Arabidopsis thaliana: one gene and its partner. The protein of the gene in region 2 interacts with the protein of the main gene of each other region in a pairwise test. Each region holds a gene or a part of one and is shown on either strand. Other genes may lie near its edges.

The links.
Region 1: the proteins of BBX12 (region 2) and BPC6 interact in binary tests that used the Arabidopsis thaliana proteins (3 or more experiments, as listed by UniProt).

The regions. Positions count from the first base shown.
Region 1 is NC_003076.8:16,998,692-17,003,136, forward strand, and holds BPC6 (basic pentacysteine 6), read left to right. Parts: upstream 1-1,567; 5' UTR 1,568-1,735; intron 1,736-2,500; 5' UTR 2,501-2,595; coding exon 2,596-2,652; intron 2,653-2,803; coding exon 2,804-3,775; 3' UTR 3,776-3,916; downstream 3,917-4,445. Other genes in the region: AT5G42510 (Disease resistance-responsive (dirigent-like protein) family protein), read right to left, coding at 1-125. UniProt on the Arabidopsis thaliana protein: Transcriptional regulator that specifically binds to GA-rich elements (GAGA-repeats) present in regulatory sequences of genes involved in developmental processes.
Region 2 is NC_003071.7:14,187,359-14,192,152, reverse strand, and holds BBX12 (B-box type zinc finger protein with CCT domain-containing protein), read left to right. Parts: upstream 1-1,898; 5' UTR 1,899-2,106; coding exon 2,107-2,823; intron 2,824-3,052; coding exon 3,053-3,202; intron 3,203-3,565; coding exon 3,566-3,813; intron 3,814-3,900; coding exon 3,901-3,994; 3' UTR 3,995-4,230; coding exon of another isoform or gene 4,231-4,233; 3' UTR 4,234-4,239; downstream 4,240-4,794. Other genes in the region: AT2G33490 (hydroxyproline-rich glycoprotein family protein), read right to left, coding at 4,487-4,498, 4,694-4,794.

The DNA of each region.
Region 1 (4,445 bases), on a different chromosome or scaffold from region 2:
AGGTGGGTGAATTTCTCCGGCTTGTAGCCTTGATACGGCGTTGTTGTGGAGTAAGCTGTGACGGACACGGCAAGAAGAAGAATAGATGACAAAAGAGGAAGAAGAAGCAGAAAACGTTTAGCCATGTTCGTTGTTTGTAGCTATGGAAATGTGAAAATGTGATTTATATATATACACAAAACATGATCGTTACGCAATTGTTGGCTCATAAAACATTTGAATATGTCGTTTCTCGATTGGTGACAACAACATGTCCGTTGACGTGGAAGTAAACTAGGTGGTTCGATTTATAAACAACTAGATATTTCCACTTGTACGAATCATGATATAAACTGGCAAATATATAAGGATGCACGACGAAAGAAAAACAAAACAAATAAGAATAAAACAAGATTCTGCATTGTGATACACTACATATAAATATATAAAGAAAGATATATAGTAGATGCATATAATTGAAATTAAGATCAAAGATGTACATAGACATTGATGTTTAAATTTAGGATTGTCAATCTGTATATATGTACCTAAGATATATATTAATATATACATATGGTTCCAAACTCAATACCAGTGTTCTCTAATTAATGATCTTATATTTTGTACACTGAATTAATCATCCACTGAGTCCCAAAAGAGGAGGGCATAGGTGCGACGGGCTAGAGTTAAATCATAAAATAGATTAAAAACAATACATGATATTTGAAACAATGATCAATGACAAGACTTTAGTTTTCTTGCAAAAAGTATATAACTTATTTTAGAAACTCCTTGAATTTTGTTATAAAACAAAATTGGTAGTTGCATAATTTTTTTTTTTCAAAAAATAAAACAACGATCAAGAATTTTGGTAGTTGCATAATTTTGAAGTACAGTTGTGCTAGTTACTCAATTAAACTTAAAATATATTATATCAATTGTTTGGAATAACATTCATCTTTCGTCTTCTCAGTTTACTTGGAATGCACGAGAGCTTTCTCGTTGTGAGAATAACTCTTGGGTCATGCCTAATGAGAAATGCATGGGGACGAGAATCCTCTGTCGAGTTAAAAAGTATCAATGTCTTAAGGCTACTATTAATAAAACAAATCTATTATTCAGATCAAGTAGGTGCTCTGTTTTAGGCTGCAGGAATCCACGTTCACATGGCGTCAAAGTTAAGTACGTTGGGGCATCAAATGTTGTTTGTGATAAAATCTCATAACAAATGTGCTACTATCTAATTATAGAGTCGATTGTTCTGAGGAAAGGTAACGTTTTATTGATATTTGGCGACCGAGACTGAAGTTTCAAAAAGGCCATATTAATATTGATCGTAAAATGTTAAATTATATATAAACTGTAATGACCACACCAGCCACACTTTAAATTTTATATAAAAATAATCTAACTGGTAATTACATAATAATACTAATAGACATTTTTTATTTTATTTTTTTCCAATTGGTCACCTAATTTTCAACAACAACAGTGCAACAGTAAAACACTTACCAAATGGGTGAAAAAAGAGTTAAAAGTTTAAAAATTTGTTTTTACCAAACGTAAAAACAGTTAGAAAGAAAGAAATCCATCTTCCTCTTCCCCGATCTGTTTCTTCCACAAAGATATTTTTCTTTATTCTCTCGCAGTTCAATTAGGGTTTCAATCTCTCTGCTCTGCTTGTCATCACCACCACCACCACCACCGTCGTCGTCTCTCTGTATCTCTCCGGCGGGTTCTCTCTCTACTTCCCCCGGTAAACTTCGCTTACTCTTCCACCATCTTCTTTCTCTCTTCGCCGCCCCTTTTCATTTCACTTTTTTCTCCAAGTTCTTACCAAGCTTCTAAGCTCATTTCCTATTAATCGAAGCTCGTTTGAAGTAATTAGGGCTTGGCTGAATCCTAATTGCTGAATTAAGTTACTCGATTTGATTCCAAATGGCTAAATCCTAATTTTGATGAGCTTTGCCTGTTTCTATCGACATTAGAGTTGGAGAATTTTTGGATTGTTTCTTTCTTTTGGATAGTGTATCGAACCAGATTTTGTGGTTTTAGAGTTCTTATTGATCATCATGAGTAGGCGATTTTGTGTTTTGTGTTTTCCCAAATTAGCTTTTGATGATTATCACTATGACTATAATCGATGATACTGTGTTTCTTTTAGCTGAGTTTGATATCTCACAGAGTTTATGTGTATTGGTTAGAATCGATTGATTGATGTGCAAATCCTGAAACAAAATGGTACCATTTCGATATTAATGTTGCTATTTTTAGTCATCTGAGTTTGAGTGTTTTTGTTGAAAGTTTTTCAGAAAATACTCATAGATGGACAAACAATTGTTTGCTTTGTCTCTGCTGAATCATATTCTGGAACTCAAGTATAGATTTTTTTTTTGCTTCATAGTCGTTTATGTATGTTCACTAATACTAGCAATGCTTTGGTGATTGGCTATTTTGCTTCATAGTAGTTTATTTATGAAATGGTCTTTTTTGACACTGTTTAATGATTGGCTATGTGCAGGAGGATTAAAAGATGGACCAGTCTTTTATTTTGATATTCCGTTAGCTTGTTCAGTTATTGTAGAAGCTGTACCGTCAAGACTTTTAATATCTCAAATGGATGATGGTGGGCATCGTGAGAATGGTCGGCATAAAGCAGCAGTTCAGGGCCAGGTACCTTGACAATCCCAAAGCTAAATCAGTTGTTTTCCTTTCTCTGCTCTATATATACATCTTATGGGTGTTCATCATGCTTGCGGCTAAACACCTCAGATTTGAGACTGTTTTTGATGGGAATGTATGATTTGTTCATGATGTAAAACAGTGGTTGATGCAGCATCAGCCGTCGATGAAACAAGTGATGTCGATAATAGCAGAGCGCGATGCAGCGATTCAGGAGAGAAATCTGGCGATATCAGAGAAAAAAGCAGCAGTAGCTGAAAGGGACATGGCGTTTCTTCAGAGGGACACCGCCATTGCTGAGCGCAACAATGCGATAATGGAGAGAGACAGTGCTCTTACAGCACTCCAATACCGTGAGAACTCTATGGTTACTGCTCCTGCTGCCAATATGTCAGCATGTCCACCAGGATGTCAAATATCACGTGGTGTAAAACACTTGCACCATCCGCACATGCATCATCATCATCAACAACATCACATACCTCAGTTGACTGAAAATGCATATGAAACCAGAGAGATGGAGCCAAATGATGGTCTCCCAACATCACCACCTGCCGGATCCACCTTGGAATCTGCCAAACCAAAACGTGGTAAAAGAGTGAACCCAAAGGCGACAACACAAACTGCTGCTAATAAGAGAGGGCCAAAAAATCAGAGGAAGGTTAAGAAAGAGAGCGAGGACGACTTAAACAAGATAATGTTTGTAAAGACGACCCATGACTACACAGACGAAGATTCAAGTAAGCATATCTTAATAGGATCAAAATCTGACTGGAAAAGTCAAGAAATGGTGGGGCTGAACCAAGTGGTTTACGACGAGACAACGATGCCACCACCTGTATGTTCATGTACAGGAGTTCTCAGACAGTGCTACAAATGGGGAAATGGAGGTTGGCAATCATCGTGTTGCACAACTACACTATCAATGTATCCTTTACCTGCACTGCCCAACAAAAGGCATGCTCGAGTTGGTGGACGGAAAATGAGCGGAAGCGCGTTCAACAAGCTTCTAAGCCGGCTTGCTGCAGAAGGGCATCATGATCTTTCAAACCCGGTCGATCTGAAGGACCATTGGGCAAAGCACGGTACAAACCGCTACATTACGATTAAATGATATGTGCATTTAGGTGTGAGTTGTTCTTACGACATTATCTGATTTTAAATCATGTGTACTAAATTCAAATAAACTCGAGAGGAAAAGAATTGTATGTGGAGCCAATGTTATGTTGTATTATATAATTCGAAAATTTTTAGTAACATCACAAACCGTAGAATTATTATTTTTTGTTCACATCAACAAAGAAAAACTAGACAACTTTTTCTTTTGAACTGATACTGAATCATGGATGGAATGTGAGCTATTTCACTCACCTACAACTTACGGACTGTGTGAACAAATGGATCTGATCATATCTATCAATTTGGAATTTTTGATAAAGAAATCACAAATGATTAGTCTAGGGAGATTTCACTGTGATATACGACTCGAGAGTTTTCTCTGCTTTTTTTGTGGGACCTATATATTTTATTTATTAAGAAAAAACATTATGTTTCATTAAAAATAAACCAATCAGTCGCACTAAAATAATCTAAATACTGTATAAACAAAAAATAAAATGATAAAAACATTAAAAGCTATGATGTATTTATTAGTATAAATACTTTTGATGTTTAAATTTATAATAATATAATTGAGAGTCAAATAATTTTTGTTTTCGTTTTTATTTAATATATTAATTTTGAAAAATAAAATAACTAATATAATAAGAAAATATGAAAAACAA
Region 2 (4,794 bases):
ATGTATAATTAACTTCAGATTGCATAACGTTTATTATTGAACTGGTAAAATCGAGGGAAAACAAAAAAAACTTACCATTCTTAGTTACGTACATACACAAAACATGCAAAGAAAGATAACTACCTAACTATAAATTACGTTTTTGTTGTTGCTGCAAAAATACAAAAAGGAAGATAAAGAGAAGGAATTGTGATAGACCAATATATACAGTGGCAATAACATTTTTACACCATACCATTATATATATAGGGAATAAAGGTATTGTCTGGAGGAAAATGACGTTTCCGTAAACAAAATAATGATAAAACAAAAATAGTGAAAAGAGTGAAAGAGAGAAGTGCAAAAGGGAATCTGTTGGAAGTGTAGAAAGAGAAAGCGACGACCACTTCAATCCAGTGTTGTTCTTTCTTTCTTTTTTCCTAGAAAATTAAAGATATTGCTTTTTACCAAATAATAATTTTATCTTGGTGGTAGAAAGGTTTGCAAGAGTTGTAATATACAGAAAGAGAGACAATGGGACCTAAGAAGGGAATCTCTGAGGAGAGACAGAGATGTTTCAGATCGAAAGAGACGCCAAATTGTGTCTGTCACTCTGTTCTTGTGTGTGGGTCTCCTCTCCTTCCTTCCTTATCGAATCCATATTCCATTTTGCTTTTTTTTCCCTAGAAGATTTTTAAGAATCCGAATTTTAACATAATCTTTTGTTTAGTATAATTCACTTTCCTTCTTTTTTAATTACTTTTTAAGGGTTCTTTAAAGGTTGTGTTTAGTTAAATTTTCGTTTCTCTATTATGAATTCAAGTGATATAGAGAATAAAGATTTAAGTGATATAGATGATAAAAGTTCACTTGTTAAAGAATAGTTGAATATTGAAGTCCTTTATGGTTTCGAAACCGAATTTACAACGTGATTTTCTGTAGGTTTTCTACATAATAAAGAATCAAAATTCGTAAAAGTAAGAATATAGAATATCCATTCCAAGTGAGTTTGAAACACATAATAGCTAAGTAACATGTGAAAAAACCTTAGGGCATAGGAAAATAGCAAAGGTTGGATGTTTTGTTTCTCGCACCACATAATGGGCAATGATTGTAACACCATTCATCTTCTATTCATATAACAACACAAGTACACAACCAATAATGATTTGTCACATAGGTGAAAGCGACACATGTGTGGGAGGAAAATTATGTTCGCTGAGCTTGATGAATCAATGAGAGAAAACATGGCTTTAAGAGATGAATCAAAGATGGATGTAAAAGGTAAAAAACACATCCTCATCCGATTGAAAAGTGGAAATCAGTAATTTATTTCCAACGTTTACTATATTCCAAACCTATGGACAAACATCTTGAGTTTTGGACAATTCTTAGAGATATGTTATTGATATTCGACTAAAAGATAATAACCTTTCTAAAAGAGACCAAGAAAGCAATCTCGTTACCAAGATACCAATGTCAAAAATAGAATGTTGTTATTGACATTCAAAATGACATTGCACAATGTTTCAAGATGTGCTACAACAGAACTTGCAAGATTTTTGGATATTTGGATACTTGGTGTGAATTCATGGCTGGATTTAGGATATGTTCCTAGTATATATATATTGACTTATTTGTTTTCTAAATTGCCAAATAATGATCATCTGGAACGATTTACGAGTTAGTAAACTTCGTACATGTGAAATATTCTCCTTATCGATCATGTCGTTAACATCCTAACGTCCCATCCAAATAATGGGCTTAGAATTGGGCTTAGCAGAAACATGGGCTAAAATCCTTGTGCGTGGATCTGAAAGAAAGGCAGCCAATTAATGTGCCTAAATCCATACACTGTAATGCAGCCAATTATTTCTCAAGTAATTAATTACCTATGTAAATGCAACTTTATTTCCGGTACAACAGTTAGATATTTTCAATTAATGACATCTTCTTCTTCTCCTTTCACTGCAAAACCGAAAGCTTGAGACTTTGAGATTATGTCTATGTCATCTTCTTCTTCTTCCATCGATCACTTCATCACCTTTCGTCATCTTGATCTTATTCTCCACTGTATAAAATCAGCGAGATTTTAAGGGATTGTGAAGGTACCATCTTAAACACAAAATGGGTACTTCTACTACAGAGAGTGTGGTGGCGTGTGAATTTTGCGGCGAGAGAACGGCGGTTCTGTTTTGTAGAGCCGATACGGCGAAGCTTTGTTTGCCTTGTGACCAGCACGTGCACTCGGCGAACCTTCTCTCGAGGAAGCATGTTCGTTCTCAGATCTGTGATAACTGTAGCAAAGAGCCGGTGTCCGTACGTTGCTTCACAGATAATCTCGTATTGTGTCAGGAGTGTGATTGGGATGTTCACGGAAGCTGTTCCTCCTCCGCGACGCATGAACGCTCCGCCGTGGAAGGGTTTTCAGGTTGTCCTTCGGTTTTGGAGCTTGCTGCTGTGTGGGGAATCGATTTAAAGGGTAAGAAGAAAGAAGATGACGAAGACGAATTGACTAAGAATTTTGGGATGGGGTTGGATTCGTGGGGTTCTGGATCTAACATCGTTCAAGAACTGATTGTTCCTTATGATGTGTCTTGCAAAAAGCAAAGCTTTAGCTTTGGGAGGTCTAAGCAGGTAGTGTTTGAACAGCTTGAGTTACTGAAGAGAGGCTTCGTTGAAGGCGAAGGAGAGATTATGGTTCCGGAGGGAATCAATGGCGGAGGAAGCATTTCTCAGCCATCTCCGACGACGTCGTTTACTTCTTTGCTTATGTCTCAAAGTCTTTGTGGTAATGGTATGCAATGGAATGCTACTAATCATAGCACTGGCCAGAACACTCAGGTCCATTTCTCTATCTCTCTCTGGCAATTGATTTTAGGGTTTTAAGTTTGGTCATGTGTTCTTGCTTTTGTGCTTAGAACATGTTACAGTAACTTCAGTTGGATCTTTAGGTCTCCAAATCTGTTAAGTTACCTGTCGGAACGTTGATTATTCTTTCTTGGTTGTCCTAATTAGAGATAAGACTCTGTTTTATGGCCTGGGGTTCACAGTGGAATATACGTTGTTGCAGATATGGGATTTTAACTTGGGACAGTCGAGGAACCCTGATGAACCTAGTCCAGTCGAAACTAAAGGCTCTACTTTCACATTCAACAACGTTACTCATCTCAAGAACGATACCCGAACCACCAATATGAATGCTTTCAAAGAGAGTTACCAGGTATTACATTGTTATTAGGTTTGGAATTGTAAACCATTTTATTTATCTCACAAATTGACAAACACAACGCACATTGCAGAACGTAATTAGAGTTTGTTCTATAGACAATAAACTCCCCCGATCCCTAAATTCAATCCCAAAACACTCCATACCTTAAACATTTGAATATTCCCTCATATATAGCTTAAGTTGGTGACTGATATACTGGTCTGGTAGTAGCTACATCTCATGGGTTTATTTCTATTGGTTAGAACATCTTGGAATGAATGAAACCTGATGTATTTATATCATAATTGATAAGTCAAACTACTATTTTTGGTATATCTTTGTCGGTGAACTGTGATACTTATAAGTAGAATGTAGCAGGAGGATTCCGTCCACTCAACTTCTACCAAGGGACAGGAAACATCTAAGAGCAACAATATTCCTGCTGCCATTCACTCGCATAAAAGTTCTAACGACTCCTGTGGCTTGCATTGCACGGAACATATTGCTATTACTAGTAATAGAGCCACAAGATTGGTGGCGGTAACGAATGCTGATCTAGAGCAGATGGCACAGAACAGAGATAATGCTATGCAGCGGTACAAGGAAAAGAAGAAAACGCGGAGGTAATGATGTTCTCCATTTTTTCTTTTAGTTTCCCTTTTGTAAGTTGATTGTCTTTCGAAATCGCTAATTTGTAATTGCTTCAGCAGATATGATAAGACCATAAGATATGAAACGAGGAAGGCGAGAGCCGAGACCAGGTTGCGTGTTAAGGGCAGATTTGTGAAAGCTACAGATCCTTAGATGTCTCTCCACGTTAGGTTTTACATTTGAGATCCTAAGTTAGGAACTTTTTTTGTTTTTTCTACTTTCAACTACCTTGTAAATGTAAATGATCGATCTTCAGCTGCATAATGTGTGGCCAGATTTTTGTAATTTTTACGTTTAACCTTCTAGAAGCAAAGTTTCTTAACCCAATCAAAAGAAGACAGACTCCACAGAAGTTAAACCCGTAAATCTCGGACGTAAAACATGTCACATCACTGGACAAAAAAAAAAAAAAAAGCTTCGTTGAGTGATAGTAGAAAAACCAAAATTCCTCAGGCAATTATTATTAACTCTGTTTGCCTCTATTTTTGTCATCATTCTCAAAAGGGATCAACTACTATATGTAATATACAACTAAGATCATCCATGAGACTAAAAATTGGAGGATATTTACATATATCTGCAACTATAGGGAATGCCTTCCTCCTACAGTTTTTAGGCAGCTACAAACGTCTTACACCTTACATCTTAAATCCTCCTCTGCAAATTCACCAATTAGAACGTATATCAGCAATTCTAGATTTTACACTTAAGCAGAACTTTGCGGAACACATGAAGGGAACCAAAAATCGGATTGCCCACATCTACTTAAACGTGACACACATGATGACTTTTTTACTCTAAACCACACAAAAAACTAATAGACAGTGAAAAGAAGTAAAATTAATGGTTTACCTCTTGTTTGGACATCATTAGGTGGTCTGCACGTTCGGGAAGAGCCTGTGGCGGTGGATGGATCAATGACATTGGGGTTAAAGGAGGCGAGGGAGTGCCTA